4 linked regions of the Caenorhabditis elegans genome follow. The protein of the gene in region 2 interacts with the protein of the main gene of each other region in a pairwise test. Each region holds a gene or a part of one and is shown on either strand. Other genes may lie near its edges. The genes, in order: fbxb-9, magu-3, F53G12.4 and dyb-1.

What was found.
Region 1: the proteins of magu-3 (region 2) and fbxb-9 interact in a two-hybrid assay, tested with the Caenorhabditis elegans proteins (one large-scale study listed by BioGRID).
Region 3: the proteins of magu-3 (region 2) and F53G12.4 interact in a two-hybrid assay, tested with the Caenorhabditis elegans proteins (one large-scale study listed by BioGRID).
Region 4: the proteins of magu-3 (region 2) and dyb-1 interact in a two-hybrid assay, tested with the Caenorhabditis elegans proteins (one large-scale study listed by BioGRID).

What each region holds. Positions count from the first base shown.
Region 1 is NC_003282.8:11,160,716-11,164,464, reverse strand, and holds fbxb-9 (F-box domain-containing protein), read left to right. Parts: upstream 1-1,913; 5' UTR 1,914-1,935; coding exon 1,936-2,021; intron 2,022-2,071; coding exon 2,072-2,186; 3' UTR 2,187-3,212; downstream 3,213-3,749. Other genes in the region: C08F8.6 (non-specific serine/threonine protein kinase), read left to right, coding at 177-505, 609-918, 1,087-1,202, 1,292-1,679; C08F8.15 (F-box domain-containing protein), read left to right, coding at 3,674-3,749.
Region 2 is NC_003279.8:3,900,921-3,907,244, reverse strand, and holds magu-3 (Guanylate kinase-like domain-containing protein), read left to right. Parts: upstream 1-2,036; 5' UTR 2,037-2,044; coding exon 2,045-2,179; intron 2,180-2,538; coding exon 2,539-2,841; intron 2,842-3,477; coding exon 3,478-3,669; intron 3,670-3,757; coding exon 3,758-4,076; intron 4,077-4,629; coding exon 4,630-4,832; intron 4,833-4,881; coding exon 4,882-4,988; intron 4,989-5,459; coding exon 5,460-5,573; exon of another isoform or gene 5,574-5,624; coding exon 5,625-5,691; 3' UTR 5,692-5,824; downstream 5,825-6,324. Other genes in the region: C50F2.7 (Sialomucin core protein 24), read left to right, coding at 5,914-5,970, 6,019-6,277.
Region 3 is NC_003279.8:132,388-137,791, reverse strand, and holds F53G12.4 (LisH domain-containing protein), read right to left. Parts: upstream 3,456-5,404; 5' UTR 3,439-3,455; coding exon 3,364-3,438; intron 3,287-3,363; coding exon 3,211-3,286; intron 2,244-3,210; coding exon 1,894-2,243; intron 1,558-1,893; coding exon 1,080-1,557; intron 584-1,079; coding exon 510-583; downstream 1-509. Other genes in the region: mex-3 (K Homology domain-containing protein), read right to left, coding at 4,210-4,378, 5,099-5,180, 5,239-5,404.
Region 4 is NC_003279.8:1,481,328-1,489,099, reverse strand, and holds the start of dyb-1 (Dystrobrevin-1), read right to left. Parts: upstream 6,018-7,772; 5' UTR 5,995-6,017; coding exon 5,865-5,994; intron 4,382-5,864; coding exon 4,224-4,381; intron 4,178-4,223; coding exon 4,041-4,177; intron 3,247-4,040; exon of another isoform or gene 3,175-3,246; coding exon 3,089-3,174; intron 3,045-3,088; coding exon 2,849-3,044; intron 1,922-2,848; coding exon 1,690-1,921; intron 1,494-1,689; exon of another isoform or gene 1,473-1,493; intron 1,332-1,472; coding exon 1,005-1,331; intron 677-1,004; coding exon 425-676; intron 33-424; coding exon 1-32. UniProt on the Caenorhabditis elegans protein: Plays a role in cholinergic transmission and as a functional partner of dystrophin (dys-1), necessary for muscle maintenance. Required for localization of ctn-1 near dense bodies in muscle cells.

The sequences.
Region 1 (3,749 bases), on a different chromosome or scaffold from region 2:
AACTTCCAAAAGGGGGAATTCGAAAAATAAATCAATAATAATTCTCCGACAAATTACTAAAAGGTATGTAAGGGCAGACTTTTCTTTTAGCCTAAACAGTTGTGTTAACCAAATGTTAATGTAATGGCTTGAAATTTGTATCTAATTCAATTCACATTTACAGTAACTCAAATAAAATGGGCGACTTGATCCAGCTAAGTGTCGGTACAAAAGTAAAAAAGTGGCAAATTGATAAGAAACTCGGAGAGGGTGCATTTGGTGCAGTCTACAAGTGTTCCAACCCGAAAGGAGACCTTTTTGCACTTAAAGTCGAGGGAAAAGACGAGAAAATTCAGTTGTTGAAAATGGAAGTCTACGTGTTGAATGAGTTGAAGAAGGCCGGAGGACGTCATTTCTGTAATATCGAGGATAAGGGACAAGTCGATAATTTCAATTATGTCGTGATGACATTTGTTGGGTTGTCACTTGCCGATTTGAGAGCCATTTCACCAACTAAGAAATTCTCGTAAGTTTTCTTTCAGAGAAACGGTTTTACAGAGATCTGGCAAAACGGAAGTTATTGTTCCCGTTGGATCTCCCAGAATTCAATCACCAAATTGCCTTTCCAGAATGGGAACCGCTATCTCCATTGCCCGTCAATCGCTGGAGGCACTCGAGGACATGCACAACATTGGATATCTCCATCGTGACGTCAAACCTGGCAACTACACAATCGGACGTGCCGAGGTCAATGAGCTTCGCAAAGTTTATGTGCTGGATTTCGGTATGGCTCGTAAATTTGCTCACGAGGATGGAACTATCAAGAAGCCCCGTAACGTCGCCGGGTTCCGTGGGACTGTCAAGTATGCGCCTGTCAGTTGTCATGCTGGACGTGAACTCTGTCGTCAGGATGATTGCGAAACGTGGCTTTACATGGTGGTGAGTGTGTATTCGGATCAAAATATTATCTGCTTTTCAACTAGATTTGAATTCGCGCTTAAAGTCACTTGCGCGATAATTCAAACTCTGCCATTTTAAGGAAGGCAGAAAGCTTATCAGAAATTGAAATTGATCCGAAATCTAACATTTTAAATGTTAAATTTCCAGGTTGAGCTCACTAAAGGGTCCCTGCCATGGCGTAATATGACAGAAATCCAGGATGTTGGAAATGAGAAGCGTGCTATTCGCCGTGATCCCATCGTCAAGAAGAAGATGTTCGGAGGGTAAGAGACAGATTTTCTAAAAAACTATTTTTGAAGTGTTGAAAAAACTTTCATCACCCGTCTCTGTTTCAAAACCTATCTTATTTCAGCTGTCCACGTGAGTACCTTGACATTCTCGAAGCGATCGATAAGGGACAATTCTTTGATGAGCCGAACTATGAACGGATCTACTATCTTTTGAGAGAGGCAATGAAGAATACGGGATCCACTGAATATCCGTATGATTGGGAGCAATCTCTTATGAAGAAAACGAAGGAAGAACAGGAAAAGAAGAAGAAAGGAGTTGTAGATCAAACAGAAAAGGTTATCAAGAAAAAAGAAGTTGAGTTGGCAGAGGGAAAATCTCATAAGGAGACTAAGGAGGTTACCAAAGTCAGTAAGGAAATTGTTGAGGAAAAGAAGGAAGAGAAGAAAGAGGAGAAAAAGGAAGAGAAAAAGGAAAAGTATGAAGACGATAAGAAGGAGGAGTTGTATTGATTGACTTTCGAGAAAAATAAATTATTTTTGAATGTTTCATGTGATATCTAGTTTTTTATCCTACGCGTACGTGATTATTTTGAATATTGGAGTTTCTCATTAGTAACATTGCTTTTTGTTCGAAGCATTCAGGATGAGGTCACCTGGGTTTCCTGCCATGCTCAGTTACTACAACATTGACATCTGTTGCAACTATTCAGTTAACTATCGATCTATATTCTTTTGCAGTCATTCATTTTTGCCTAACACAACTATAATGGCTGCCGTTTCTGAATTTCGTCTTCTTCAATTGCCTGAAAGAGCTCAACGAATTTCACTCTCGCACATGAGTTATAATTCAATGTAAGTTTATTTTGTTAACAAACAACCAGTTTAGTCATTTTCTTTTTCAGATTCTCACTCTCCCTGTGCTCCACAAAAAAAAACAAAAGACCTCGTTCGAAATTTCAATATAAAGTTCTATCGATTTTCTTTAGAAATATTTGGCGACATTGCTCTGATTATTAGCTGCGAAAACAGTCAAATCGATTTTAGTCTAATTCATTGAGCAGTAAAAAAACGTTACACCAGGATGATGTGCTACGAAAAACGTTAGATTTTTTGCAAATAGAGTGGAGAGTTTTGTATGGAAACGACCAAACTTGACATTTAGAAATTGGATAGATCACTTTCTCAATATTCTAAATATTTCAACTTTGAATGTTATAATGGCAAAGAGAAATGTTCATGTTGATTTTGAAGATCTTAATAGTTGTTTAGAAGGAGTACCTATACGAACGCTCACCTATGAAGGTATTGAAATAACTTCAGATAGAATTAATCGAAAGCATCCCGTTAGTGATACATTTTTATCAAAAGCGGGGTTTCTTGATTTTTATAATTGCACGTATAAAAGCTCACAGTTCATTCACAAGTTTCTCATTCATAATACTACGACGGTATTCACTCGTGGAGTGCCGCGATATAACCTGAATGATTTGCTGGTGTCTAATGGCCAAAAAATTTACGTTCAAGTCGGTAGAGGCATCATTTTTTTGGAAAAAGATGTCAATAAATTTTTAAAGCATTGGATACGTGGGTCCAATAGAGAACTTAAATCATTGGCATTCAGAGCTCCGATGAATATGGAAATAGAACATGCTATAGAAACAATATTAAAAGGAATATGTTACAAGGATGCACGAGAAGAAGATGCAGCTTCTATTAAACTGGTTCACATCTGCAATGGAAATACCTTTAAACATCCAATAATCAAAATAAGTGGTTTTCGTATTAAACGATTCGATGGAACAAATGCAACAGTTGTAATCAGATTATTAAATGCAAATAGTGTATGTTGTAATGTTGATATGTTTGTTTCCTAGATTCTTGTTTTAATGCACTCTCATTAATTGTACTTTTTATGAACACATATTTATACTCACTTTCCCTCTGACTCTGTCCCCTCCGAGGCACTGTCCCTTTGACCGCTATTTTTTGCTGCTTACCTTTCTTTGTTTCCTTTCTTTTCACTCATGGGACGAAATAAATAATAATCTTAAACGGAAGAGTGCTGGAGCATTCAGATACATTATTTTGAGTATTCGTCTCGAGGGCTGTGTAATTGATTTTAATCTGTACATGCTGAATAGTTGTGAGAAAATTACACCAGGACTATGTGCACCGGAAAAGGTTCGACGTTTTACAAATGATGTGGTAAATTTTGAATTAAAGCAACCAAACTTGAAATTTAAACATTGGATAGATCACTTTCTTAATATTCCCAATATTTAAACTTTAGATTTTGCAATGGGAAGGAAAAATGTTAATGTTGATTTTTGAAAATCAGGTTTTTTCGTTTGAAACATTTAGGATGAGGTCACCTGGGATTCCTATCATGCTCATTGTCAGTCACTACAACATTGCCATCTGTTGCAACCATTTAGTCAGATATCGATCTATATTCTCTTGCAGTCACTTCATATGTCTTGCATTTTCTGCATAACACATCTATAATGGCTGCCGTTTCTCCATTTCGTCTTCTTCAATTGCCTCAAAGAGCTCAACGCATTTCACTTTCGCACATGAGTT
Region 2 (6,324 bases):
TTTTTATTCAAAAAGTGACAATTACTACATAAATTTTGGAAGTCGACCAAAAATTGTAGGAGTTAAAAATACAGCATTCTCGAAAATATTCAGAAATTCCGCTATTTTTTAAATTTGGCAAGTTACCAAAACTTTAGCTGAAAATTTGGAAGTTATTGAAAATTTTTGGAATATCATTTCTGGGTCATTAACGTGTGTGTGCCAGGGGTTTGCGGCAATTGCCGTTCGGCAAATCGGCAAATTGCCGGTTTACCGTTTCTTTAGATATTTTCATAGAATTAGCTAACTTTTCAAAATAGATGTAGGAATATTCATAGGATGCGTACAATTTTGCCGATTAAAATTGAAATTCTGAAATTTCCAAAAAAAAATGTGCAAAACCACAATTTGCCGAAAATTTTCGGCAATTACCGTTTTTACGCCAAATTCGGCAAATCTGCCAGCTTGTCGATTTGCTGGAAATTTCCCATTCCACCAATTTGCCGATTTGCCGACTTGCCAAAAAAAATTGTTTGCCGCCAACTTCTGGTGTGTATAGACTACTTCCCTCCTCAAAATATGTACATCTCCAATTTTAAACCAAATTGTCGGAGCCGGAAAATTCGAGAATCGGCAAATTTTTCGGCAATCATCTTGCCCTAGAAGGTCTCGCCACGCTCTTTCCACTGCTTGGCTTCTTACTCACTTCAGAAGTCAACACGAGCTCCGTACTCAACCCATGTTTCACAATGTAATATTCAATTCACTGTGCTCATTCCACTTGCATTCTGCTGCTAAATTAGCATTCTCCCCTTTTCTTTTCTTTTTCCTTTCTTGTTGTTGTTTCTTCAAACAATTTTCAAACCCACTGCTTCCCATCGATTCTCTCTTCAATTTCTCTGCGTCTTCAGGCATAAGTAGTCGTTGCTCAAAAGAGAGAGAGCTCATGAATTCGTTTCCCATGCTCTTCTTCTTGTCGTTGAAACATTCACATACACACACATGTTAATCTGATATCCCTTCTTACGACTTCTGGTTTTGGTTTCTTTTTCAATTATTTTTTGGAAAGGATATAGATATATGTTTGTATGCTTTTTATGGGGAAAAGTTTACCTAGATTTGTTTGCTTTTAATTTCATTTCCCAATTCTTTCTCTTTTAGGTTTTTTAAAAAATCGAAGCGGTCTAGGCATAAGAAATTTCTTGCCTAGACTTGGGTGATTCGTTTTGTTTTTATGGAAGAGTTTGCCTAGAATCGACAAGTTGCCAGAATTGAAATTTTTGATGAATTGCCGGTATTGAGAATTTCAACTCAAATCGGCAAAATTGTACGTATCCTAGGAATGCTCCTACATCTATTTTGAAAAGTAAGCAAATTCGAAAATATCTAAAGAAAACGGGCAAATTAATTTTAAAAAGGCACAGTTTTAAGTGTTTCCGTCTCTAAAAACTTCCAGCAAATTGATGTTCGGCAAATCGGCAATTCGGCGAATTGGCAAATTAAATTTTCCAGCAAATCGGCAAACCGGCAATTCGCCGATTTAAAAACTATTAGAGGTGCAAAACTAATAGAGGCGCCTTACTAATAGAGAATATACGGTATTCGATATTGCATCTAATGTTTAGCTCATCCCAAATTGCTATAAAAATCGCTGAAAGGCTCAAAAATATACCCCCGTCCCTTTATTGGCAATTTCGCTTAATTTACGTGTACCGTTACACTTTCCGAAAATTCCTACAAGTCCATTCAAAAAATCCAGATTCTTCCACCCTTTTGTAGTTTTTTTCAGATGGCCTAGAAAAAATAATGAATTTCAAATTTCTGCCGGCCACGAAACCTGTAACAATTTTTGTGTACTTTCTCCCAAACAACCATTCTAAAATGCTCTAAGCCTCGAATTGCGTAGTCGTTTCTCACTTCTTGTTTGCCCACGCAATTTCTGTATGCTTTTCGATTCTTCTCCCCCTCCCGTTACCACCTTGTTCTTCTTCCATGTTTCCTGGTTGTTCACTTGTCACTTTTTTTCTCCCGGTATTCAACAAAAAGCACATTTTAAGATCGAAAGATGAGCGAAGAAGATGAGTTGTCTCAGCTGAGATCGAACGCCGAAAACTTGTCCAGATGTCTTCATGTTTTATTGGAAAAAATCGAGAATATCGAGAAGAAGAATGGAAAGGAGCAGGATGCGGATAGCACAAAGGTGAGTTTTGAAAAAATATTTTAAACTTGTAGGAACCATAAGCTTGACAAATTTTTCATATTAAGTATTGCCAGCGTTCAAAAATCCCAATGTTTGCAATTTACCAAAATTTTGGAAAATCTAAAATTCTTTACAATGAGGTGGAGTGGCGGCTATAAAAATATTTTGAAATAGCCCATAATGCTGAATTTGTTTCAAATATAATAGTAAAACTTTCAAAAAAAATTGAAATTTTTTTGAATAAAGTGGCAAACTATATGGAAATCGGCCAGAAAAAACTGTTTTTTGCTTAATGTTAGCAACACGCCAACATTCTGAAAATTCTGAAAGTTTTAAAATTTAATTTTTTAATTTTTCAGAGCAACGGCACCTCTTCCTCAAACAAAGACGGGAAGGAAAAGTTCGAGCAAGTGGAGATTGAGGAGAAAACTGAAATCGATCCGAAAACCGGGCTGAAAAAAAGAACAATCGTAACTGAAAGAGTTCTGACAACGAAGACATTTCATGCTCTCGCACTTGATGGACCATCTCCAACCATGACACCAATTCTAAGATCATCTGGAACCAAAAATCATAATTATGCACCAATTCATCAATCAGCAATTCTTCTTCCACAGTATCAATCAAGAAAGACTACTGTAGATGCTGGGCAACTGACACAAGTAAGTATATTTAAATTAAAAATTATAAAAATTATAATATCATTTAAAGTGGAATATAGTTAGTGGTGGTAAATGTACATATAAAATAGTTTAAAAAATTGTCCAAATATCATAGATAAACTTATCGAAAAGTTTGAAATTTATCACCGTATACCTAACTTTGAAACTCTTGGTTTATTTTAAAAATATCAATCAATATATTATAAACTACGAAATGATAGAAAAAGATCTAACAATTATTTGTTAGTTGCCAATTTTTAAATAGGTCGAACGATAACTGAGATATAAAATGTCAAAGTTGAACAATGGGGTGCAATACTAATAAACGAAATACGGTATATTGTACAGCCATAATTTTGAAAGTCGATTCTTCAAAATTATTTCATATTAATTTTCTTTGAAATATTTTTATTTAAACGATCTAGGGGTTTTTCATAAAGCTCAATATCGACTGAAAAAAAATTTAATAATTTTTGAAGCGTTTAATTTAAAAAAAAAGAAAGTATTTATACAAAATTACCGACCATTCGCTTTTAAACAATTAGGACTATAAATACAAGAGGTTCTAAAAAACACATTTTCAAAATAAAATTTTTCCAATTTTTATTCAATTTTCAAATTATCTGAACGTTTTAGGTTGAAGTTGAGAAACACGGAGGCCAGTTGGTAGTAACAAAAATCAATGAAAAGTCCAATTATGATCTGAAGCCTGGTGATGTTATTACCCAAGTCGATGGAAAAGATGTCTACTTTAGAGCAGATATCGAGAATTTGAAAGGAAAAGTTGAACTGACAGTGGAACCCGCTGGGATTCATTGTGCGCCTGCGGTGAATATTTTTTAATTTATTCTGAACCTTGCATGTCGGACTTCTGCCAATTTTGGATTCCCATCAATAATTTCCAACTAAATTTCAGAACTTCCACCGCGTCCAAGACACATATAGCTCTCACATCGACGTGGACCGCCCGTGTCTTTGGCTGGATCTAGAAGTGAATCCAGGTGATGTAATACAAATTTTGAGTAAAGATGAAAAATGGATGCAAGTGAGAAAACTTGGTGATTTGACACAAGTTGGATATCTTCCAACTTCACTGACAATGGAGAAAGTGTCAATGCTCTGTCCATTCGGAAGAAGAACTCTTGTATTGCTAGGAGCAGTTGGAACAGGAAGAAGGGATATTAAGTCGATGCTTTTGAGGCTGGCTCCACATTATTTTTCAACAATTGTTCCATGTAAGTTCTGAGATTTGGAGAAATCCTCAAAAAATTGCAATTTTAGTCAAATTTAAAATTTTTTAAATTTGGACAAAAATTCGAATTCAAAATTTAGAAAAATATAATATTTAACATTGAAAATGAGTGTGAGGATCAAATGAGTATTGAAGAAAGTTCTAAAAAAAGCGAGTTATTAGTGCGATAATTATTAAAGGCGCACATCCTTATGCGCGCTCTTCATCTGAAAGTGTTTCAGTTCTGTCGAGACCTGGTATAAATTTAATTCAAAAAATGCTCCGAAGGAACGAACAAGTAATTAAATTTCTGTCAACTTCTGGGGTAAAAATAGCTTCCAAAAATATCGTCAATTGGATATTTTCCTATAAATTTGTGTTCCAAATTAATAGCTTAAATTTCTTAAAATTCTGAGATTATGCTAGAACGTTTCCTCATTTTCCCTAAAATCTCGCACTTTCCTTTCTCTACTGCCCGTATTTCAAATTTTTGAAATCTATTTATAATCAAAAATGTCAGCGAATGAACAATACTGGTAAATCCCCTAAACTTACAGTAACCTCACGAGCCCAACGACCTGGAGAAGTGGAGGGACGTGAATATCAATTTGTCCGAAAAGAAGAAATTTACCAAAAGATTCGTGAAGGTGGAATGGTTGAGTGGGGGGAATTGGATAGTCAACTCTATGGAACATCGGCAGACTCCGTTAGAAATGAAATCCGAAGTGGACGAATGTGTGTATTGGATGCTGCTCCTCAGGTTGGTTTTTATAATAATGACGGATTTCAAGTAATAGGAACAATTTCAGAGTGTAAATTATTTATATAACGCTGAATTCATGCCATTCGTGGTTCATGTCGTGCCCCCACCAATTGAAGAGTTTACACAACTTGAGGCGGTTCGAAGGACTCACAGGTAAGCAAATTCGGTATGAACTATTCCATATTTTGATTTTCAAAAAGGAAAACTGAACAACATTCAAAAATTGAGAAAAAAACAATGTTTCGGCGATAAAAAAAATTCAAAAATTGGGAAATCCTGACTTTCCTAGAAATTTGAAAAAAAAATTTTTAGGGAAAATTTTATTTGATTTTTGCAAAGTTTATCGAGAAATTTAAATTTTTTTTCAAATTATGGCGGGAAAGTCAACATTTTATTGTCAATTTCCGTCGGTATATTGAAAAATTAATTTTTCAGAAAAATAAAAAATATTTCAAACTAATCTTTTTGCCGAATATCTTCCGAAAATATATGTTTTTTTTTCAAAATGTGTTTCCCGGTAAATTCAAATTTTAGATTTTTTTAATGGAATTTTCAGTGTTTTACTAATTTTTCTTTGAAAAAACATTTGGCGCAAAATTCAAATTTCTAACAAAAAATTTCCAGGACTCAAGGCCAACTCCAATCAATTTGTGACGAAAGTGCAAAGATAGGATTGGAATGTAAATCAAAGATTCATCTAACACTTGTTAATAGGAATATTGATGTTACATTCAAACGGTAGGTCTTTACTATGACGTCACTTCTCTTCCACTGTCGTATCTTTTCCAGATTGGTTGACTCGTTGGAAACTCTTCGCTACGAGACCCAATGGGTTCCACATAGTTGGATGTGCTAGATGTCTGTCTGCAAAAATATAATATGAATCACTGCCAATTCTCGTTTTATTCTCTTCCTCTTTCTCTCATATCCCCCAACTAGTCGATCTCCCCCGCCTTTTTTCTTTTCCGTACCAAATAAAGCTATCTATTTTTCATTTATTTGAACACCTTACGCTCATTTCCGAGCTCTTTTTGCTGCCATTTCAACATTTATCGGCTCACAACATATCCAGCAAATCATGAGACTTTCCGTTTTATTCTGCTGCGCACTTTTTGCAACAATTTTTGCAGACGATGTAGGTTTTTAGAATTAGATTTATGTCAAGGTATGAAACAACTTTCAGAAAGATTCCAGCTCTTCAGAAAATTTACTTTCTGACAAATCCTCTAACATCACAAGTGCCGATGCATCAGATGGAAAACTTCAAATTGAAGAGCAATTCGATGGAAATGATAACTCAACAGTAACATCGAATGGAACTAAAAGCCCTTCTTCAGTTGGATCATCTCTTCCAACAAGCTCATCTGGTCCTGAAATCAAGACAACGACTCCTAAATCTGGAAAACCAAGGGCTCCATCTTTCACTGCTTGGTCATTTTTCAGTGGGTGTTTTATCCTACTATTCAAGTTTTAACATACTTCGAAAACA
Region 3 (5,404 bases), 3.8 Mb from region 2:
GGTTGTGGGCACTACCGCTCCCCAAGGGGACTAGGTTTCCGTGTGGAAGAGAAAATGTTTATACTCTTCCATGTTATTTGCCAATAGAGCGGATTTGCATCTGCGAGGATGGATGAGTTGTTATGCCACGCAGCTAATCCCTATGGCCTTGGACTTTTTCTTGGTAACTGAAAAGTTGCTTTCCTAGCAATCGCACTAGCATCAATGAAAGAGTTTTTTTCGTTTTCAAAGTCATCAGGACTTACCCAGAAATTTACCAGTAAGAACTAAAATAAAAATAACCAAATATAAATTGAGAAAACTCATCTCTCACAGAAAATCGGCGCCAAACTTTGAAAAATTACACTCAAATATGGTTTTGTGTACATTTTGCTCCTCTTTCTCAGTGGCTCCGCCCGCTCGACACACATTTGTTCGTAGTTTGCGCGAACTTTTTTCAAGTTGAATTGTTGAAATTCCTAGGTGAGAATTTATTTATTTCAAAAGAAATTTTTTAAAAGAAGAAAATTTTAAAAAGAATAATCGGATCCTCCGGAAGATAGTAGACCGGTGTCGAAATCTTCAAGCTCGTCGATTGATTCTCCTGAAAATTTTTTATTATTGATTTTTCAGGAAATTCATCGATTTGTATGTAGAGGCATGTTTTTTTTTTACTTTTGCTCCGCAAGCGGAATATGCGCCTTTAAAATTATAAGCTACAGGAACAATGATCGATTTTTAGGAGAGTTGCATAATCACGTGCTCGCTGGCTGTCTCAAAATTCACGTTTTCTCGCGGACGAGAAAACTTGAGAAATATGAGAAAATGGCCTAGAAAATCCTGGAAGAGGAGAATTCCTCGTCCACAGCCAAAATAGCGTGTGAAAGAAGAGATGCAGACGGCAAAACGGTTATTCTTTGCGTTTTTCACGTTCAGAGAAAAAAGTAGTATCTGCGTCTCTCACGCCCAATGGATAGCGAGAGTTGGCGCAAACGTGAATTCTCAATGAGGCGCGTTTGCTTCAAGCTTATGCAAAAGGACAGCCAGTGACCACGTGCATAATTTTTCGAAATTTTTGCATGGTGCAAGTTCAAAGTTACCTTCTGACAAGACCAACGGCTCCACTAGCTCCTGTTCCTTTGGTTTCGCTTCCTCCTTCTTTTTCTCCATAGGCAGTATAGACTTTTTCTTCGCCACGCCATCCTGCTCGAAATCCTCTAAATCATAATCCACGTTATCCGAGCCGAAAATGGCGTCGATTTCCCGACTTTTCGCGCTTTTTGTCAGCGGTGGTCGTCCCATGGAGAGCGGCGGAAGATGTGCGTTGAAAATCGCCGGAAGTGGGTCAGAAGTGCTTGCCACGTCATCAGTGACTAACGCGGATTTTGACGGACCCCATGCGTTGGGAATTTGGCTTAGTTCGATCATTTTCTCCGCGCCAGCTGCTGTGGGTTTCCCCAAGATATCCGAAAAAGTCAACTTCTCCTCGGAAGATGACGACGCGGATGACGTGGAAGAGTCGGAGGAGGACGATGAATCGTCGGAATCGTCTTCTGCCTGGTTGGATAGACGTGCGAGCTGAAAAATCGATCGATTTTTTTGCCAAGAAAAGTAGGAAAGTAGGACTCTCATGTCGGCGCCGCAAACGCCGCTCTCACGCCGCGATCTGAAATCTTTATAGCGATGCGCAAAATCCAAAAAGTGTCGGACCCGGAGTGAAGTTTGCACCACATAGTGTCATACGCTGGCACTAAATTTTACGCGCGCGCGCAAATACTTTTTTAATCATCATTTGAGTGATTTAGGGCATTGAAATTTTTCTTTTGAATAAAAGTCGCGAAACATCGATTTTAAAAAATCGCCTTGTCGACTTTTGTTAAATATTTCAAAAAAAAATTATTTAACGCAACTCACTCGTTCCCTCTCCATTTCCATCCGTTTCCGCATCGTTTTTCGAAATTCCTCATCACTAAGCGGTGTAATTTTCAACGGTGCTCGCTGTTTATCGACCATATTAATTTTTGCAAACGGGCGGCCGGCGCCAATCGATTTTATCGATTTTCGTTCAAAATCGTCACCGGTGCCATCGCGAATATCGATTTTCAGCTGACTTCGCAATAGATTATCGATTTTTTCCCCATTTTCCACGTGTTTTTCTGCACTCTCCATGTAGTTTCCAGACATTTCTGTTTTCAAGACTTGAGATGATATTGGATATCCATTCTGCTCGAGCCAATCGGCAATCATGCTATGGGTGACACGTTCTGTAAATTTTCAGAGTTAAGGCCACGCCCAATTATAGGATTTTCTTCAATGTGGGCGCACGATGTTTTTTGTTTAAATAGAAACTATGTTATCGACAAAAAATTGCACGCGCTCAAATTATAAAAAGTGGGCGTGGTAATACCATGTGTCGCGTTTTTTTTCAAGATTTCATGAGAATTACATGAAGATATATATATATATATAATCGAAAAAATACGATCGCACAAATTTCTCATAATATATTTTTTATCTACCTTGTTGACTAGGCTCCTCCCCGTCCTTCGACAAGACAGCTACAACAAAATAACAACGGCAACAAGATTGGGGGCGGAGTAAAGTTCAACAGGTAGATCAAAAATAAATTATGAGAAATTTGTCAGATCGTACTTTCTCGATAATAATTTTCAATGTTTTTTTCAGAAAATGAAATAACAACGCCTATTTTGCAGTTTTGCAAAAAGTGGCCGTGGCCAAAATACCCGTAGAACGCGGGGTTGCACTGAATCCTTGATTTTCTGACATTTTACCTATTACGGAAACACAAAATTCTGAAAATGCATATTGCACAATATATTTGACGCGCAAAATATCTTGTAACGAAAACTACAGTAATTCTTTAAATGACTACTGTAGCTCTTGTGTCGATTTACGGACTCGATTTTTGAAATTTATTTATTTTCGAATATTTTCGATATTACACTTTCATTCGTTTCTTCGTGTCTTTATTTTCTCATTTTTATCTAATTTTAAAATTGAGCCCGTAAATCGACACAAGCTCTACAGTAGTCATTTAAAGAATTACTGTAGTTTTTGCTACGAGATATTTTGTATTTTGAATTGTGTGTTCCTGAAAAAATTTTGAAGTTTTTAAGTCGAAAATTGTGATTTTTTTGGCGAAAAGAGCATTTTTCATAAAAGAAAAATCCTTTTTTTTTCAGAAAATTTCAAATTTTCTAAAAATTTCACCTCTATACGTCAAATCCCTACTCGTTTTCTTTGGCGTTTCCCCCAACGTGGCACTTATCGTCGCGCGGATATATGTCTGAAACAATGGGACACCTCAAAATATAATAAATATTTTTGAATTATTAATATATTCAACTATTGTGCTATTATTACCCGCAATGGTGCATATTGTGGCAATTCGGACAATTGATCGGCCAATTGACGCAGGATAGGATTTGTTGAGTGCATTTAATAATAGTAAAGGTATAGTATAGGGCGTGCGCGAGTGAGCCAAAAGCTCGGGGAGTTGCTATGGATACCAGAATATGGAGAGACGACACGAATCGCTTCATTCACATACACCAAAATCTGTGGAATATATCAGAACTTTTACAAAATACGATAAATTTGATGGGTGAGGTGGGGATCACTCGAGTTTTTAATTATAAAGAGGTGCTATAAATATAAAAGGCCTCTCAATTCTCCGTTAGTTGTGCGTAGTAGAGAGGGGGAAAATTGGGAGTTAAACACTAGGTGAGAGATAGAGAGAAAAGAGGAAATCCTTATAATATATATAATTTTTGTTTAAAACATGAGTTGGTCGTCCTATCATAATGCAAAAAAGAATAATAGAGAAAGTTACAGATTTTCCAAAAAAACCTACTGTAGGAATATATATTGGGGGACTGCATGGGTTACATATATAAATATATATAATATAGATATTTCAAAAATATGAATAACAAATAATAATAGTTATATATAAATATATGTGATTTTTTTCGTTTTTTTTGTCTAGGATTTTGGGGTGAGAATGATGGTGATTTTTGTGTGTTCTAGTAATGTAGTAAAGAGGTGAGAAAATGGGAATGGAGGGACTCGTACACCGATGAACAAAGTAGAAAATGGGAAAAAGAGTCTTTTAAAGAATGGAAAGATGAATTTGGAACTCGTTGAGGATGGGTTTTTGCTAGATGAGAGTCTACACGATAGTAATGGAATGATGAATGGATCCACAGCTTATCCATTGATCGGCACGAGAGTATGATCGTTGTGATCGCAGGTCGATGAAGTCGGCGAGGCAGATGCTGAAGCCAACGATCCTGGGCTCAGATTCATGTTTCCGCCAGACCAGATTGTGCTGAGAAGACCGAAGCCGGCGGATGTTCCTTTGAGGGAGGACATGAGCCTGCAAAAAATTTGATTTTTCATAAATTTACAATTGAAATTTTCTAGTTTTTAAAGAGAATATCACACTTTTGTGGAAAAAATTTACGACTTGATATTTCGAGATATGTCGAAATTAAAAAATATGTATGATAAATTGTAAATTTCAGTAATTTTCCTTTAAATTTCAAGTTTTTCTCATAAAATAAATAAATTTAACTTTACCTCTTAAAATTGGAATTTCACCTTTTTCTCTCAAAAACGAGGTTTTGAAAAAATCAATTTTTTGCATGTGAAAAAAAACATATTTTTTTGAAGTTCAAAAGAAAATTACAATTTTTCTTTTATTGTTCAAAAAAAATTTTCTTTTTATAGATTTCTGACGGACAAAATCCAATTTTATTTAAAAATTTTTGAATTTCAAATGAAAATTATAATTTTTATAGAGAAAACTACGATTTTACTCTTTTTTATTTTCAAAAACGGATAGGTTCAAGATTTCGGAAAAATAATTTTTTAATGTGAAATTTTTTAAACATTCTGAGTTTTAGAAACGTTATTTTTTATTTAAAAAATTGATAAGAAGCCGTCAGGTTCCGAGTGGAAAACACGAAAACTTGTTTTTTTTTTAAATTTTTTAGCGGAAAATCAAATTTTCTTTCAAAAATTTAGAACTTTGAAGGAAAATTGCAATTTTTAGTTTTATTTCAAAAATTTATAAAATTCCTTCAAAAATATATACCCATTGGTTGGGGATTCCTCGCGTTTCTCCAATCCCATCGACGACCATGCGGACAGGGCATCGTACTTGCGGCTGAGAATTTCTGAAAAATCCTTATTTGTCATTTAAAATTCTTATTAAAATTCGCAAAAAAAGCTTACCGTTCTCCATAATATCATTAAGCGAGTTGTTGGTTCCCCAGTAGTCGTAGGTTGGCAGATCTTGTTTCGCCGATTGTCCTCCTCCCAACGATGGACGAGAAGACAGTCCAGTACCGGAAAGAGATTCCGGAGTCAACGAACTACGCATCGATGGGAAACTGCGGAG
Region 4 (7,772 bases), 2.4 Mb from region 2:
GATGATACACCTCCTGATGGTTGGGGTCCCGTCTGGAAAAGGTTTTTGTTGTTTTGAAATCAAAAAATCGATAATTTAATTTTATTGATTTTTTGAAGGTTGAATTTTTCAGAAAAGCCGATATTGAATTTTTGATTTTTACTGAAGCTTAAAAAATCGACAGGTTTACACATTTTATCGGTTTTTATCGCCGGCGGAAAATCAATAATTTTATCGATTTTATCTCCGGCGGAAAATCAAAAACTCCAAAAACTTTGTTTTCTTAAAATATAAAAATTATCGATTTTTCGAATTTTTTGAAAATTATCAAGTATTTTTTCTAAATTTGGAGGAAAATATAACGATTGTTTTTGAATTCTGCAAAATTATCGATTTTTACATTGTTTATCTATAGAGCGCGTTAGCCACAGTAGGTATGACCTACATTCAACTGAGCCATTAAATGCTCCAATTGCATCATTAATTCTCTCCTCCTCTGTTGCATTTCAAACATTTTCTCTTCCAATTCCATTTTCCGGTCGCGGAGCCCGGCGAGCCCGTCATCGGAAGTTGTTTGGCTCTCCAGTCGAGCCATTTCCCGTACCATCATTGAATTTTCTTCTTCCAGTTGAGCAATAAGGGTCCGTTCGTCTCCGACCATTGAACTATTCATACTTCGACCGTTTGATAGGGGATACTGCAATTTATTGATTTTTAAAAAGAAAAATCGATAATCGATCAAATTTTATTAAATCAATAATTTGACTTTCTGCCGCCGGCGGAAAATCAATAATTTTATCGATTTTTTTGATTGCCGGCGGAAAATCAATAATTTAATCGAATTTTATCGCCGGCGGAAAATCAATAATTTTATTGATTTTTTTTGTTTGCCGTCGGAAAATCAAGATGTTTATCGATTTTTTTTATTGCCGGCGGAAAATCAAGATTTTTATCGATTTTTATTGCCGGCGGGAAATCAAGATTTTTATTGATTTTTTCCTGATTTTTTTCGATTAAAAACTCACATCAGCCCTTCCCGACAACTTTGCTGCATATCTCGCAATAAGCTTATGCTCATCATCAATAACTCCTCCATGCGACGCCTGTCCCGGCAGAAGTACCGGTGACGTCGGCCAGTCCGCTGATGACGTGGCAGCGTGTTGCCGGCGGATCGTCGTCGGTGTCGCCGGGACGATGTTGTTCAGGTTTAGCGGTCGAGCAGGTTTGCTGCTGACCGGGCCACCGATTTTTGCGTTAAAAATATCGATGTTTGCATCGCCGACGGTTGACGTGGCAGGAATACATTGGAGACTTTTGTGAATTGAGTGTACGAGCTGTTTTGTCGGCGATTTCTGAAATTACTAAGTTATTGATTTATTGATTTTGGAGTTGAGAACGCTTTTTTCCATAATTTTATCGATTTTTTTTTTGCCCGGCGGAAAATCAATAATTTCATCGATTTTTGATTGCCGGCGGAAAATCTACATTTTTATTGATTGTTTGTTGTCCAGCAATTGATAATTTCTCTGTTAACTAATCGTTTTTGTCGAATGAAAATCGATAACTTTATCGATTTTTTTGATTGCCGGCGGAAAATCAATAATTTTATCGATTCTTCATCGCCGGCGGAAAATCAATAATTTTATCGCGCGCTTTATAGATACATTTTCGTGTACTCCACGTGGAAAATCGATTTTTCAAAAAACTCACATAGCTGGAATATTCTTTCATCTCGTGCTCATTTGAATGATTTTGACTCGTCCTTCCCCGCCAAAAACAGCTTTGACACAACTGATAATTGGCGCATCGCTGACATTTATACCGAAATCCTGTGAAACTTCTGACTTGACACGCATCACACACCACCGGATGGTACACGTTGCTCACAGACGCCATTCGATGTAGCAAGGGGAGCCACATTATGCATGGGGGACATGGATCGCTGGAATATTAATTTTGTATGATTTTTTGATAATTTGACAGAACAGGTTTCAAAGTGTTGGTTGATAAATTTTCAAGAAAATTAACGCAGTGGCTATAGAGTTACACCATTTTGAAGATTCTAGGCCACGGTGAGAACTTCGGTCACCCCGTGGGGGGGGGGGGGGGACCCGTGACCCCATGACAACTAAAATTCGATTTTATTTGATAATTTGATAGAAATTGTTATATAAAGTGTTCTGATAAAGTTTCAAGAAAATCGGCGCAGTGGCTTTAGGGATGCACTGTTTGAAAGTTTCTAGGCCACGGCGAGGACTTCGGTGGCGGCGTGGGGACCCGTGACCCCATGAAAAGAAAAATTCGATTTTTTGATTTGGTTTCATTGAATAAGTTATAGATACAATTATTGCAGAATTAAAAAAAAATTTTTACAGTTTTTCAAAAGTTACACCGCTCTGAAAATCCTAGGCCACGGGGATGCCTTACGTGGCCGCGGGAGGACTTCAGCCCTACGTCTATTATTTTTTCTAATTTTTCAAAATGTTAGGTGTTTCAGAACTTCCAAGACACCTAAATTATTATTCTGGGTGAGTTGAGGGACTGGTTTTCCCCCCGATGGGAGAGGAAATGCATTTTCTCTTTCGCGCGTGGTGTCAGAGTGTCTCATTTCGGCGTGATCTACGTAGATCTACAAAAAATGCGGGAGAAGAGACGTAGAGTTCTCAACTGATTTCACATGATTAAGAACGTGCTGACGTCACATTTTTTGGGCGAAAAAATTCCCGCATTTTTTGTAGATCAAACCGTAATTGGACAACCTGGCACCACATGCTAACGTAGTTTTGTGTAAAAGGTTAATTTTTTCAAAACTTTTTCAAAACTTTTTCTAAAATCTATTTTTTTATTTATTTCCAAAATTGATATCTACCTCAAAAAAGTGTCCAGAAACACATTCAAAGATACTTTCTCATCCTTATGAAAGCACTGATTAACCGCGTTTTCGGAAAATCCAAACGTCGGTGCTTCGAAAACTGCAGTGGTTAGGGAGAGGATTTGTTGCAAAAAATCAGTAAATTTAATATGATCCATTAATCCATTCGAATCAGCGATTTGAGAGAAAATGTCTGAAATTTCAGATTTTTTTTTGAAATTCGCAAGCGCAACTCACATCTCAGCTTGTCCACCAATTTTCCAGCGCAGAGTGTTGCCAACGCGACTTTTATTGAAAAAACCGTCAAACGTCCGGTATTTTGTCTGAAAAATTGGCTTTTGAAGCGTGTGACGTCACTTCTAGGTAGCGGAATATCGGAGTGTCGTTGTGAGAATTACAGCCTAACTGCGCACGGGGTTTTGGCCTTCCTCATTGAATTTTTCGCGCTCCATTGATAATCGCCTGCCGGACGGGAAAGTCGTGTACTCCACACGGACAAATACATTTAGTTTTACAACTAAAATCGAGCCGCGACGCGACACGCAACGCGCCGTAAATCTACTGGCCTAGTTCGGCAAAAACTCTTCCATTTCAATTTATGAGGGAAGCCAGAAATCCGTGACTTTATCAAAAAAAAATTTTTTTGCAAAGTGTCCTTATATGAATAAAAATTCACTGGGAAATTTTAATTCCAGAGATATGAAACCCTGAGATTTTTTCTGCTCTTTCAGTCAATTTTCATTTTTGAAAAATCAAAACATTATGCTGAAAACAAAAAAAAACAGAAAAAATTTCGGATAGTTGAAATCTGTGGGAACCAAATTCCGGTGGAATGTGAAATTCCGCGGATCCGAAAACCGGAAATTTTCTTTCAGTTTTAGGATTTTAAATTTTTTCATATATTACCAAAATTTCTGTTATTTACAGAACATGTGTAGATTGAATCCCGTAGATTCCAATACGCGGAATCAAAATTCTTAGGGAATCTAGATTCTGGAGACACGAAAACCCGAATATTTTTCGTTATTTTTTGCAGTAAAAATTGGAATTCTAAATACACAGTTTTCACGCAGTAACACAAGAAAAAATTCTTAGAATTTCGAATTTGCCGAATCTAAATTCCTGGGGAATCTGGGTTCCGGGGATTCAGAAGCGTGAGTTTTTTGTCCGAGAGGAGTCCAAAACTCACTTATCATAAGCACCTAACAAAAACGCGAGTAGCAAAGAAATCGATACATCCGTGTCCACATGTTGTGACGCTACAAGTCTTTTATTCAAATTGTGGAATACTGTAGTTAGCAGAAGCTCGGCGCGTGACGTTTTGATCTGAAAATTTCCCCCACATTCTCAATAGAGCACACTTGCAACATACCACAGTATGTAGGGGTAATGCATTGAGTCCGTTTTCTCGAAAAGCTTCAATCATATTCCAAATATCTACCAAATGAACTTTCGTCTTTTGTTGAATAAATCGCAGTTTACAGGCGGCTCGATACGTGGCAAATCTGATGGAGTCGAAATCTTGGAGACCTGAAAATGCGCTCTATTGATGATTCAACTTTTTTTCTGAACTTTGGGCATTAACCAATGAAAGCCAATAATTTTTTTGCACTTTTTCGCAAAGAAGAATTATTTATAAGCTTCCCTTTCTCAAGAGGAGTAGCGGAAAAATTCATGAATTTTCAAAAAAAAACTCGGGTAGTTGATATCCACAAAATTCTTAGGGAATTTTCGATTCTGTAGAATTGGATACCGGAATTTTTAGGGTTTTTTTTTTGGATTTTTTTTGAAGGTATTTCCGTGTTTTTTCGACAACATTGAGCATTGAGAAAAAATGTTTTTAAAAAAGTCGGGTAGTTGATATCCGCGGAAACAAAATTCACGGGATTTTTATGCCGCGGAATTGGAAACTCGAGTTTTTTGTTCTTTTTGCGGCGAAATTTTTGCTTCCACTCGTTTGTTATTTTATCCAGACCCTGACTAATTTTCATAGAAAAAAATCCGAAAATTTTATTCCCCGAATGCCAAATTCCCTGGAATCTGGATTCCCGTGAAATTTCGATAATGGGGGATTTGAAAACGCGGAGTTTTTTGACATTTTTTGTTGTGTTAACTTGTAAATTTCATGAACATTTTGGAGAGTGTATCAACTTTGAGCATTTCGTATAAATTTTGTTTTAAAAAATCCAGTAAATTCAAATCCACAGAGTACTTAATTCCAGGGAACTCTAAATTCCGACGACTTAGAAACGTGGAAATTTTTCCGTTAATTTTTTACATAATAAGGTATTTTTTCTACTTTTTCTTTGAAAATTTCCGAAAATTCAAATCCACCGAAAAAAAATCCCAGAGAAAATAAAATTCCGGAGAATCAAAAACGCGGGAATTTTTTGCGTTTTTTAACCAATTTTTCCATGAAAAAATTGAAATTGGAATTGAGAAAAATGGTAAAAAATTTGGGTAGTTAATATCCACGGAAACAAAATTCCCGGGAATTTTTATTCCGCTAAATTGGAAACTCGAGATTTTTTGTCCTTTTTCGGCGAATTTTGAGTTTCCACGTAATTTTCACATTTTCTGCAAAAATTTATATTTAAAAACTCAGAAATCCAAATACGCGGAAGCGAAATTCCAGGGAAATTGGATTCCGTAGATTCAAAAACGTGAATTAAAAAAAAAATTTTTTTGCTGTGCTAACTTGAACATAAATTTGAAAAAAATTTTAAAGAAAAAAAATCCCGTAAATTCAAATCCACCGAGTACTTAATTCCAGGGAAATCTAAATTCCGAAGACTTAGAAACGTGGAGATTTTCCGTTAATTTTTTTTACATAGTTAGGTATTTTTTCTACTTTTTCTTTGAAAATCTCTAATGAAAAAAGATTTATTGAAAATTTCCGAAAATTCGAATCCACCGAAAAATAATCCCATAGAAGTTAAAATTCCGGAGAATCAAAAACGCGGGAATTTTTTAGCGTTTTTTAGCCAATTTTCCCGCAAAATTGAACACCCACGCATTTCATCAATCAATTGTTGCATTTCAGATGCCACAATTGGTGGTACAGAATGCATTGCACGATGATGGTCTGGTGATGGTGCACTGCTCGGCTCACGTGGTCCTCCTCCACCATTTGACCACAACATTTCAGGAGAAAAACCCAGAGTGTCTGAAATTTAAAATTTAAATTTTAAATCAATTTTAAAAAAATTTAAACCAAAACTCCACCCACAAAATGGCTGGCCAGAGCTAAAAAGTGGTAGGGTTTAAAACAAAGAAAATTGGGGGAGCTCTGGCTCCTAGTGGGCGGAGTCTAACTCTGGGAGAGAAGACATTTGGGGGGAGCCTAATGGGTTTTGCATGTATGCGCGCTGATTTGCTTGGCACATTACTAAGCCAATATGTTTCAGGGAACCAACGAGGTTGTCCACGAGGAGTACAAAAAATATTTTTGGGGAATTTCGACTCCGCGGGATTTTAAATCTCAGGATTGAGAGAAAAATAATAACGGTCACGTGGTATCAGGTTGTCCCATTACGGCTTGATCTACAAAAAATGCGGGAATGAGAAATCAGTTGAGAACTCTGCGTCTCTTCTTTTCCCTCATTTTTTGTAGATCTACGTAGATCAAACCGAAATGAGACACTCTGACACCACGCGCGTAAGAGAAAATGCATTTCCTCTCCCATTGACACCACTTGAATCCCGGTAAATCAAAATCCCAGGGAATTTCGATTCCGCGGATTTGAACTCCCGGGGGCGTTTTGTAGAAATTTGTTCAATAAGCGTTGAAATCCACGGAAACTTGATTCGCCGGAATTTTCGTTTCCGTGGATTTCAACTACCTTACGGTTTTTGAGCTAAAATTTTTTTAGGTTGAAATTCGCGGAAACTTGAATTCCGGAGAATTTTGATTCGGCAGAAATTGAATTTGTGAAAAAAGTTTTTTTTCTAATCGGGTAGTTGAAATCCCCCGAAACTGGAATTTCGCGTGTTTCAGGTTTTTAAGCGAAATAGGCCCAAACTTGTCCACGAGAACTACACAGAGTATTCAAAAAAAGTTCTTTAAAAAAAATATTTTCAAAAAATACAACAAAAAACTTGCTTTTTTCCACGCGGAGTACACAATTTAAAGCCTTTTTATCATTAGAGCGTGTTTGTATAAACAATTTATAAAAAAATTTCAATAGAGATTTCCACTAAAGAAAACTTCAAAATTCGGATTAAAAATTTGTCCAATAGAGCGCGATTGCATTGCAACAACATACGAATTTTCAGGTAATATTGCCATTAAAGCGCGATTGCAGCAATAATTTTTAGAAAAATGTTGAAAAAAAAGGGAAAATCGAGCCAAAAATACACGAATTAAAAATTAATTCGTGGTATACGCTTTTGCTCTCGGAGCACTCAAGGGAACACTGGAGAAAGTGAATTTAGGCAAACGTGAGTGAGAGAGAGAGACTTAGAGAAATAGAGAGTATTAGAGAAAGAGAGACACAAGACGGATCGATGTGCAAAAGGAGAGGAGGGGGGGGGGGGAGACGTATTGGCTCAGAGAGCAGCGGTGGGATGAATGTGAGCATACGGAGAAAGATGGAGAGAGAGAGAGAGAGAGAGAGAGAGAGAGAGAGAGAGAGTGCAGAGAAAAAGAGATAGGGGGCCCCCACTGAAACATTGGGACCCCTCACCCCATCCGTCTCAACTCAATGAGGTGTAAAAGTATACGCATTATACACAGGGATATTACGAAGTGGATGAGGAAGAGAAAATTAGTGGCCTAAGTTTTTGGATTTTCTAGGCCACGAAATGAAAGAAATTTTGGCTTAACGTGTGTTTGTTTCTCCACTTTCACAATTTTAAAAGGAGGCGGTTTTATGCGGAATGTTTTTTTTTGTTTAAAATTCGTGTAGATCAGGGGTGGGCG